Arabidopsis thaliana: one gene and its partners. The protein of the gene in region 1 interacts with the protein of each later gene in a pairwise test. Each region holds a gene or a part of one and is shown in the gene's direction. Other genes may lie near its edges.

What was found.
Region 2: the proteins of AT3G24740 (region 1) and AT1G30860 interact in a two-hybrid assay, tested with the Arabidopsis thaliana proteins (one large-scale study listed by BioGRID).
Region 3: the proteins of AT3G24740 (region 1) and AT5G58720 interact in a two-hybrid assay, tested with the Arabidopsis thaliana proteins (one large-scale study listed by BioGRID).

The regions. Positions count from the first base shown.
Region 1 is NC_003074.8:9,029,237-9,032,991, forward strand, and holds the start of AT3G24740 (cellulose synthase, putative (DUF1644)), read left to right. Parts: upstream 1-1,841; 5' UTR 1,842-2,034; intron 2,035-2,038; exon of another isoform or gene 2,039-2,610; 5' UTR 2,611-2,828; exon of another isoform or gene 2,829-3,140; 5' UTR 3,141-3,160; coding exon 3,161-3,755. Other genes in the region: AT3G24715 (kinase superfamily with octicosapeptide/Phox/Bem1p domain-containing protein), read left to right, coding at 1-67, 158-280, 353-440, 522-712; AT3G24730 (mRNA splicing factor, thioredoxin-like U5 snRNP), read right to left, coding at 916-1,014, 1,110-1,176, 1,261-1,418, 1,503-1,658.
Region 2 is NC_003070.9:10,987,900-10,991,654, reverse strand, and holds the start of AT1G30860 (RING/U-box superfamily protein), read left to right. Parts: upstream 1-2,061; 5' UTR 2,062-2,408; coding exon 2,409-3,161; intron 3,162-3,260; coding exon 3,261-3,379; intron 3,380-3,466; coding exon 3,467-3,755. Other genes in the region: AT1G30870 (Peroxidase superfamily protein), read right to left, coding at 1-120.
Region 3 is NC_003076.8:23,721,110-23,724,864, reverse strand, and holds the start of AT5G58720 (smr (Small MutS Related) domain-containing protein), read left to right. Parts: upstream 1-1,689; 5' UTR 1,690-1,890; coding exon 1,891-2,530; intron 2,531-2,719; coding exon 2,720-2,745; intron 2,746-2,869; coding exon 2,870-2,956; intron 2,957-3,052; coding exon 3,053-3,123; intron 3,124-3,444; coding exon 3,445-3,671; intron 3,672-3,755. Other genes in the region: Mik (pfkB-like carbohydrate kinase family protein), read left to right, coding at 1-425, 1,062-1,238.

The DNA.
Region 1 (3,755 bases):
CCACTTTGATCTCAAATGCGAAAACTTACTTGTCAATTTAAGGGATCCACAACGGCCTATATGCAAGGTAACATATATATTGATGAAGATCGTTTTCCCCTATAGACTGAGAATCCTGAGAAACTGCTACTTAAGTATGAAACTCTGATTTCTACAGGTGGGAGATCTTGGCTTATCTAGAATCAAACGTAACACTTTAGTATCTGGGGGAGTGAGAGGAACTCTTCCATGGATGGCCCCAGAACTCTTGAACGGAAGCAGCACCCGAGTTTCTGAGAAAGTAAACTAATCCAACCACTATCCTATTAGTTTCACTAACAACACAACTCACATTTGTTTTCGATCTGAACAGGTTGATGTTTTTTCATATGGAATCTCGCTGTGGGAGATTCTAACCGGAGAGGAACCCTATGCAGATATGCATTGTGGAGCAATCATTGGTAAGTCAAAAACCATCACTCACAATTTCACTTACCTCAAAACAAAAGCCACTCTATGCTCATTTATTTCCTCTTTTTAAGGCGGGATCGTGAAGAACACACTTCGACCTCCTATACCAAAAAGCTGTTCTCCGGAATGGAAAAAGCTGATGGAACAATGCTGGTCTGTCGACCCGGATTCTCGTCCTCCATTCACCGAAATAACATGCCGACTTCGGTCCATGTCAATGGAAGTCGTCACTAAAAGCAAAAGAAGAGAAAATAAACCCTGACTTCAAAACTTCAGAAATCAAGAAAACGACGGGTCAGTTCATCGACATTTTCACATCTATCGAAAAATCTGCATATTTATTCTCATTCTTCAACTTTGTACAAAAACATAACTGTAAATCTCAAAATGTCAAATGTAAATATTATTGCCAACACAGAAGATGAGAAACAGATTTTGCATTGTAAGCACAACAAACTTTAGTGTCTACACATCCTTGTACACGAGCTGGTACTTTGGTATCCTCTCTGGCGGTATTGGACATTGAACAATCATCTTCCCTTTCATTGCTCCTCGATATATAGCCTATACATAACACAATAACAAAAACAGAGTATTTAAATTAGTAACAACTCTTTAAAAGCTTTTAGGAATTAATGAAATTGAATTGTTCTTGTTACCTCAACAACATCAATAAAGTCTTGTTTTATATGAAATGCACCAACCCATTTAGTATGATCCGCAGTTCTACAATATAACCAAACCGGAATTAACATAAACCAACCTAAACCGGCTTTAATCAGCTACTAGAACAAGAGATTAATTAATTACCCAGAATCCAATTTCATATGATGCGCATTGAAGAAGAAGATCGTCGAAGGAAACAACGTGATATCAAAATACTTCACATACACTTGAACATCCTCTGAATCAACATCAACCAAAGCTACCTTAGCAAATTTCGAAACATCTCTCACCGATTTCGCAAGCTGAAAAGAAAAATTCGAAAACTTTAGGGGTTTTGATTAATCGAAATTAGAGAAATCGAATTCAAAGAGAGACGAATTGAATACGATTTCATCATGCTGAAGACAAACGGCGTCGGAGGAACGACCAAATCGTAAAACAAGAACTTCATCAATGGTGTCTCTGATAACCCGATCAATCTCTTCCTTCGTCGTTAACGTCTTCAGAAGATAACTCATCTCGGCGTAAGAATTATACGACATCGTTTAGATAATATAACTAAAGAGACATAAAATAAAATATACGACGTCGTTTGATAATAATATAATACAGTAACTAAAACAGACGGAAAATATACGACGTCGTTTTTTGGTAATAATATAATAACTAAAAGAGACACAGATTAAGCGACGTCGTTTGTGGTAATAATATAATAACTAAAGAGACGCAAGTGCAAATGTTTTTGTGATAAAAACCATAAAAATAAAAATAAGTGGAGAAATCAAAATCATCGATTCTCCTTTGTTTCGCCTAACCCAATTCCTAAATCTCAGCATCTTTCATCAATCCAATCTCTCAAATAAGCGAGAGAGAAACAAAGATTATCGAATCCTTGGAGACGAAAACATACTCCAATTTGTAATTTTCTCGTCTTTTTTTTTACCTGATTTTGTTATACGTTTGATCGAAATCATTTGCTCTGATGGATCTCTGTTTTGTTAACCCTTTTGAGATTTGGTAGATATGGTTTTGAGGATTGATATATTTGCCGCTGATTGTCGTTGAAAAATTGTGAAATTTGATTTGGTGGTTTAGGGTTAAAATGAAATTATATGATGAGGAATATAAGAATCTGATTTTTTTTTATTAGATTCTCCAGATGTTCTTGTTACTTGTGATTGAAACTTTGATTTTGGGTTGTTGTTGTTTTTGAACTTTGGGGATTTTAAAGTTGAATTTTTTTCTAATTTATGCCAAAACGGTCTTCTTCTATGGTTTTGTATTGAACTGATGATTTAGATTTGTTTAAATCTCGGCTTTTGTATATTGTAGTGGAAGATTGAATTTTTTATTTCTTGTCATTGGTTATAGGTTTTAGTTTATTATGATGATGCCACTAGTTGCATGATTACTAACTTGACAGTGGTTTATATGAACATATGTGATAATTTTCTTAAGTTTGATTCCTACTTCTCTTTTGGGATTGTTGTGCAGGTTTTAGGACATTTGGGTTACCCTGAGGCTTAAGGAGAATAGTGGTTTAGTTATTTATACTGAATTTTGTGTCATTCAGACTTTCCGAGGATTTTCTGTTTGGTACCGTTTGCCTCGTCTGTGTTTTCATTTGAGCTGCATCTTAAAGTGAAAGTTCAGTGCTTAAACAGTAATAAAGTAGTATTTCAACAGGCTGCTAATAAGATTGCTCCCTTTCGGTAAGTTTGTTTTCAGCCAACTATCTCTCTTTGTGAAGTTAACAATCCGTTGCTTCTTGTGATGGTTAAGATTCCTCTGGTATGCTTAGTTTCTGTGCTAGTTTCTAGACTATGATGAGTCAGTATAAGATATCTATTTCTTCTGTTTTTGGTGTATCTTCATTTGTTCTTGCTTTGGTTCTGCTGCTACATGATTGTTTTGAAGTTTTGATATTAAGCGATGGTTTTGGTCTTGCAATGTTCCCTTTTTGGCAAAAAAGTAGTATTTATAAACCTCATTCAGTGTTTCTAACTTTCTCGATGCGTGAGTAGCTTACACAGTGCTTAACAAGATGGCTGGTGTAAAGCGAAAATTAAGTACCGAGTCAGATGTTCATGCTCTTCACAAAGAACTGGATGAGGTTTCATGTCCTGTTTGCATGGATCACCCACATAATGCTGTTCTACTGCTGTGCAGCTCTCATGACAAAGGTTGCAGGTCCTACATCTGTGATACCAGTTACCGACATTCCAATTGCCTTGACCGGTTTAAGAAATTGCATTCTGAATCCGCAAATGACCCTACTCCCGAGGCGAACTTGGCTTCAAGGGAACATAATAACGAATCTCTATACGAGCATGGTACAGCCAGTCGAAGCAGTTTTCACCGTGAGTCTGGAAACCGAGGCTCTTCTTGGGATTCCGAATCACTGAGGAGGAGGAGGAGAGTTGAGGAAGAAGTTGAGTCAGAAGATATCACAAATTTGAAATGTCCTCTATGCCGGGGTACTGTTTTAGGATGGAAGGTTGTAGAAGAAGTAAGAACGTATCTTGATCATAAGAACCGAAGTTGCTCCCGAGAATCCTGCTCATTTACTGGCAACTACCAGGATCTGCGCCGCCATGCCAGGAGGACTCACCCAACAACTCGTCCTTCAGACACTGATC
Region 2 (3,755 bases), on another chromosome or scaffold:
ATCATCATCGTCATCGCCTCCGTATCCTCCCGCTCCAGGTAAGTCTTTTCGGCCAGCCGATACCGGCCAAGCCACGAGAACTCCGAGTATGACAACGACTGAGACCACGGCCAACTTCATTATTTTGCTTTCTTGATATCTCTCTCAATTTGATTGGCTTTGATGAATTTGTTTGATGAGAGGTGTGTTGTGTAGTAATTTATATATACAATTGGGTTTGGAAACTAATGTGATGCTTTTACGTGGGAGGCACAACTTTAAGATTTGAATATTCGAGTGACTTGCCTGCATGTCGTATATAATGTTTATGATATATAATTTTTTTTTGATCAAATGATATATATTAATAGTATAATTTTAAAAAACCTTTTTACAAGAGAAAAAATGATATAATGATCTTTACATTACTGAAATCAGGGTTTTGACTTATTTGGATTAGATTAATTGTAAAATTTATTTGTCAACAACTTCCATTGATTTAATTTTGTTTGTTTTTTGGTCGGTTATGTGAGACTATTATTATTTTATTTTGTTGTCTACAATTAACATACGTATATATACACTGGATGATGACATCAAAGTATGTTTTCGAGTAATCCGTAAAGCAAAATGTGATATATCGAAATTAACAAATTTTTTGCACAATCATTAATAATGAATTTGCTCAGATCCTCTAACAAAAATAGCGATATTACCTCTGCACATTTTTTAGCACGGAAAAATAGGTCCATTAGAGACATGTTGACAAAAAAAAAAAAACAATTCACCATAGGCTACGTTTATTGAAAATTGATGCATCTCAACAAGTTTTCAAACGTTCAAATTTTGAGTTTTTTTGAACTATACAACAAATTCTCACTAGTCAAAACCTTAAACTTTTTCATATATTTTTCTAGTTTTTATAATTTATATTTCTTACAAATAATTGTAGAAAACTCAATTTTTGGGTCATGAAAATCGCCAACAGTGTGAAAAGAGGCCAACCAAAAGCAGTTGATTCTCTAGAACTCATTGTTAATAACTGAAATATATGTATGTAAACTAATATTTGCTAGAATTATAAAGGAGAAAAGAGTACAATCGAAGTCGGAACCAACGCCGGCCGGTCGGAAAAATCACAGAAGAAAAATCGTATCAATCGCTTTTTCAATCGTCCATCTTCTTTATCTACCGGATAATACTTCCTAATACTTAAACTTTAAGAAAAAAGATTGTCAGCTAGCTATACGAAGTGTGGAAGAATACATTATCACATATGCCGCAACTAATATAAACGATACCCAGTTACCTGAAATATATATACGAAATATATGTCGTATGTGCCAATATCATAGACACTAAGTCTCGATTAATCGGTCGTTTTACTCTATCGTTGACTAATCGTTAACTCATCGGGATCCGAAAATGATCGGTTGTGAACCTTATTATTGGTTTCAATTATCGTTATTTTGTATAGAGACTATTTTTTCTTAAATCGTTTTATAAGAGTCACAAATCACAACTCGTCCTAAGTTCTCTCTCTATTCGACTAACCCAAGCACGACATTGACCACTATGCCTGGGCCTATTGACCACACTACAATAAAATCGCACACTACATGAAACTTGGGTTGAACATCTAATTTTCTCTAATTAAATTATTTTTACTTTGCTTAAAAGTTTTTGTTCCTGTCAGTTATACAATTTAAAATTGTTTGTTATCTTTAGTTCTTCAATTTGATTTATGATGTGGCATAAAATCCAGAAAGTGCATGGTTCCCACTCGACAACGGCTAAATTCCTCAACGGCTCCTTTTTGACTCTAGCATATTTAGGAGCCTTAATTATTAAATAATTTAATCACCCTTTAATTAGTATAACAATCCAATGTTAATTTTTTCATGCATTACACAATTAAATGCTTTTACCAGTATAATGACATGTGTTATACAATATCTTTCAAATTCAATTTTGTCCAAAATTATAAGTAGCTTTTTTATTTTTCTATAACAATTTATCACTTTTGGCCACATAAGGCTTTTCTTTCTCTGTATTCTTACACCTCATTCTTTATTGCCTTGTTTTACAGACACGTTCCCCAGTTTAAGGGACAAAACAGAGCCATTTTAGGACTCTTAACATTTATAAGTCCTCTTACTAAATAGATAAGCACAAATACTGTTTGGTTCTGTTTTGCTTCTTCATCATCATCGTATCTCCACCGTTTGTTTGTTGTTGTTCTGTTTCTTTAACAGGAAAAAAAAACAGAGAGAAAAATCTGTCTCTTCACTAACACAAATCCATTTTCTCTTCTTCTTGTAGAGAGACAGAGAAAACAGAGTTGTCCTCTAACTTCTTTCGATCGATTCAAAAACTCTAATGATTATTTGATTTTATGTTCGTTTGTTCGATTCTTAGATCGTAAAAAAATGGTGTCTTCTCCTCAGAGATTCGGTTTAATCTTAAGAGATCGTAACCAAAACGCTGGCGTTTTTCAAAAGAATCTGAAATCTCCGGTGAAAGAGGTTTTGAAATCTCATGTCTCCGATGAGAATTTAGTTGATTCTTGGATCGAAACTCACAATAACAAGAACAATCGTGTTCTTGAATCTCCGTTAGAATCGAAGAGAAACGACAATCTTGTGGCTTCTTCTTTGGTTCAGATATGGGAGGCGAGGCTAAACCGATCCAACGGTGGAAACTCGCCGAGTAGCAGTCAATCTACGGCGAGTAGTAGTAGTCGGAGCGATTCAGGAGTTAGTGTTCAAGATTCCGGTCTTTCAGAATCTTCATCAATCGATGGAGATTCTGAAATTGCTGATCGAACGGTGGAGATTGAATCTAGGTCACATGGTTTGGTTTCTGATTCCGGAGAAAGTAAATGGGGACGAGTCGCTGACCTAATTCGGAGGCTTAGCAACGAAGACAAGAAACGAACCGCTGGAGATAATGGCAGCGGCGGTGGCGGTGGACTCGAGATTATCAGAACGCCGAGGCCTTATTGCACTTCGTCGTCATCGGAGAAAAGTAATTTTCCGGTGGTTAGTTTCTCTCCGAAGATACGAGGACGACAAGCGTTTACCGATTTTCTTATGCAAATGGAACGTGATCGCCACCGTGAATTGGATTCGCTTTTTGAACGCAACGCAGTTTCTAGGTTTACTCAACGTGGTCGTCTCCAGGTAAATTATATTTTCACTATTTTGATAAAAATAACTAACATATTTGTGACTTTATTCATAATCCACTAAATGGTTTTTCTAATTACATTATTTAACCAGTCAATGCTAAGGTTAAGGAACCTCAATCGCTGTCTTGTGATTCAAGATAGAAACCGGTCTAACGCAAAAACAACCGGATTAAACCGAATTGAATCAGGCTCTGCTGTTCTGCATTTAAGGTTTTTTCAGATTCTCTGTTTTATGTTTTGAGTTTAGTTCTTAGGGTTTACTTTCTTCAGATTTTCAATCTTTGATTGGCAACGCAGGGAGAAATTTCATGCGAACGTAGTAAACTCTGCGGCTGCAACAGATAAGAGGAAGAATCATCAACGATCCACTGAGATGAACAACAAATCCGTAGAAGAAACAGAAGGAACTACTACCACAAGCACGAGGTTAAAGGATGGTGGTGTTACTCTCGAAGCTTTTTTCGCAGAGCGGTTGAGACCCCGTAACCGCAAGATAGAGGAAGCAACGTTATGTAAGGAAGAAGAATCTGTAAGTGGAACAGTTGATTCACAAAAGAATTGCCTTCAGCTGCAAGAAACAAGAGAA
Region 3 (3,755 bases), on another chromosome or scaffold:
ACGTTGTTGCTGTGGATATTCAAGCTTTGATTAGGGTTTTTGATCCTGTTGACGGAGCTGTGAAGCTTGTTGATTTGAAAGAAAGTGGATTTTATCACATCTTGCATCGAATTGGATTCTTGAAAGCTTCGTCAGACGAAGCTCTTTTCATGGATGTTGAACAAATGAAGCACTTGTGTTGTGTGGTGGTGACTAATGGTGAAAAAGGGTGTAGGATTTATCATAAGGATGATGAAATGACGGTTCCTCCGTTCTTGGCGAAGCAGGTGGATCCTACCGGTGCCGGAGACAGCTTTCTCGGAGGTTTGATTGTTGGGCTTGTTGAAGGTTTGACTGTTCCTGATGCTGCATTGTTAGGGAACCTCTTTGGTTCCATCACTGTAGAGCATATTGGTCAGCCAAAGTTCGATTTGATGATGCTTCAGGTTTGTTTTTTGGTCTCGTATTAGCTTACTGAATTGCATGCTGTGAGAGATTTGCAAATCTAATAGACAGTAGTAAGAACTTTTAGAGCCGATGATAGTGATATGCAAATGTCTTTAACATAATCCTAGCAAAAGAACTCTGTTACATCTTGCAGCTTACTTTCAATACAGCCAAACCTATATCTTGCGGGTGAACTAGAATCTGTATTTGATGTTGATAGGTTTCCAATCTGAAAATGTGTCAAATCTTCACAGTTGTTGTTTGAGATTCTGTCGAGTCACAGCTGCTGAGAGAGTCTTTTCTTGTTTTACTTCATTGTTAATCTAGGAGCAGTTTCATTCAACATAGGGTAGATGCAGGAAAAAGTGTTGTTTAAGCATTCACCGAACAATGTGGTTAAGCAATTAGAGAATTCAAAAGTATGGATCTCTTGATGTATTTGCGAGTGTTTCTGTGTATCTCTTGTAGTTGTATCTGTTGAAATGAGGGCGTTATTGGATAATAATTGAACCATTGGCTAGTGCAAGTGAACATTAAGCAAATTAGAAGATTTATAGCGTTTGTGTTTGCACTGCACAAGGATTCATCCCTTTCATCGGTTATTTCTATGTGACATATGTCTTTGTGATTTGCAGAAAGTCAAGGATGAGGTACAGAGAAGGAAGAAGCAGTGTAACATATCTAGCAGCCATAACAACGATCACAACGAGTTCCATGAGCGTCTAAGTCCAGCTCGGTTTTCATGCGTAGACTCTCAACTTCAACCAAAGTTATTGGTCAATGGTCACTCTTGTGATGATCGGTCCCTGTGAATACGAATCTTGAATCACCTTTTTTTTACTAACAAAGCTCTTCTGAGTTGTGTAAGCTTGCTTCAACACGTTGATGAATTTTGGAAATTTTAATGTATAAAACGCGTTGACCAGCGTCTTCAAACGCTCTTTCTGGTCGTTCCCGCAAAGTTTGTTTATCAACTCCGCGTTTCAAAATTCGAAATGAAGATGTCAAATTTTGTTTTAAAAGTTTTGGATAAGATGATTTGCTATTCGCATGTTGCCACATTATCTAGTTAATATAAAAACCAAAAACAAATCTGAGATAAAATTACGAAAGTCAACGTGGGAGATCTAATTTTGACTGGTGCATAGTTGAACCGGTTCAATATATGTACAATCAGGAGGAAACCGTGTTCGGTGTTTGATTCGTGCGCGTGGATTTAAAACGTGGTCACGATCAGGCGCGTGGATTGACGTGGCGATTCCGATTCCCAATCAAAAGTCTGGACGAGCAAAAAATTTCCTCTGATATTGGCATCTCCATTACTAACTCCTGATTTACGGTTAAAACGCCTCTTCCCTCTCTCCGACGCTTCTCGTCGGAAATCTGGGTTTAAGTTTCTTCTGCAGATCGGAAGAGATTCTATTGAAGCGGCGTTGACACGATTTCATCTATAATTGTACGATAATGAAGCAGAAGAACCAGCATAAGAAGAAGAAGAAGCGATCCTGCGCCGCGAAACCTTCCGGTGATGGAACGACGTCGGACGGGAACAAAAAAGATGTGGAGGAAGAGAGGAAGGACGGTGAAGGAAAGAGGGAGATAGAAAACGTTGGAAAAAATTTTATCGAATCGTTAATGGAAGCCTTTTGCTCGGTTTCAATGGAGGAAGCGATGGCTGCTTATAAGGAAGCAGGCGGAGATCTGAACAAAGCCGCTGAGATTTTATCGGATCTGGTGGAAAGCGGTGATGATCCGTCGACGAGTTCGGTGGCGAGTGGTTCTTCGGGTCAGGAAACAGCGTCTACCTCTGAGTATGGGGCAGGGTCAAGTTCTAGCTGTAGCGAAGATTTGACTAGAGATAGATGGTTTAAGGGAAGCAAGCAGAGTAGAGTTATTGCTGCTACAGGGATGGTTTCTTCTGTGATTGCGAAGGATTACTTGAAGCCAAACCCTGTGCGAAAAGAGTTTCCTATGATGGAACGGTCTAAAGAGCTCTGTGGGAACGGGAAAAAAGCTGCGGATAGAGAGAAAGCTGAACAGTTCTTAAGTTCAATGCTTGGAGATGATTGCGAGCTTAGCATGGCTGTTGTTAGAGATGTTTTGTGTGAGTATTTCTTCTTCTTAGTCAGTTAATTTTTCCATGGGAGAAGATGTTAGTAGAAAAGTATGATCCTTAATAGTTATAGGATTACGTTTTAATGTGTCCGCGATATTCGAAATATAGCCGTAATAATGTTATGAGGAGAGACTAGATTGTTCGATGAATTGACATGGAAGTATCTATTTTTTGTAGGTCAATGTGGCTATGATGTCGACATGGTAAGCAGAGATTGTCTTCAAACTTACATGGGGAAGTATTTAGTATATTGACAGGGAAGCTCCTGAAATATGCTGATACTTGCCCGACTATTTATTTTAAAGCTTAATAGCGTTTTCTTCTTAGGCTTTGAATGTCTTGCTTGACATGTCTTCTTCATCAACTGATGATTCATTGAGTGGTAAATGTTTCGGCATAGGAGTCAGCGATAGTGTAAGTGATTGTTTTTTTTGTTAATCTTCATAGATCTGTTTATTTTGTTTTCTTACACGATAAAATAAAGTGCAATCTCCTGACATTATTTAACAGCTGGCAGAGTCATCTTTTGATACTGATACTTCTGATTGTGAACTTTTCTGGGGTGGAGACTATAGTCAAAGGTACTTCTATTTGCTTCTTAGGCTTTCATCTTGTTATTGCAATTCACTGATTTTGGAATTATCAGAGTTGATTTACACGTTAGTTACAAGATAACGAGCTCTCTGCAACCTCTCCTTATCTTTTAATTAGTCCTTATCCTCTTCTATGAAAGAACAACAAACGAACTATTTCATGGTGGAGGATTCAGTTCATGAACACATGATATCTAAATTACTCATGAGACCGCCAAAACTTACATTATGATTTCTTAATTTCAACATTGTGGACGAGGTCAAAACTAAATATCTGGCCTTTTTTTCTTTTCTTTGTCTGAATGGTAGGGACTACGCAAAAGCTCTCATGAGTTCTCAAGATCCTTTTGCAACTACCCAAGGAATTGATGAGCTTGGTCTTCCACAAAAAGTGTTGGAGTCTCTGTTCAACATTCGCCAGAATCCTAAACATGAATCAAAGACAACGAGTTGGAGGAATGTGGCAAAGAAAATGCAGTCACTTGGCATTGATGCTTCTTCATCTAGTGGGGAAGAGCCTCACCCTAATACGTTTGGTACTTTACTATGGTTTCTTGATTTTAGTATTTGCGTATATAGCTGCAAATAGCATGCTCAATTTGCCATGAGTTTGCCGGCTT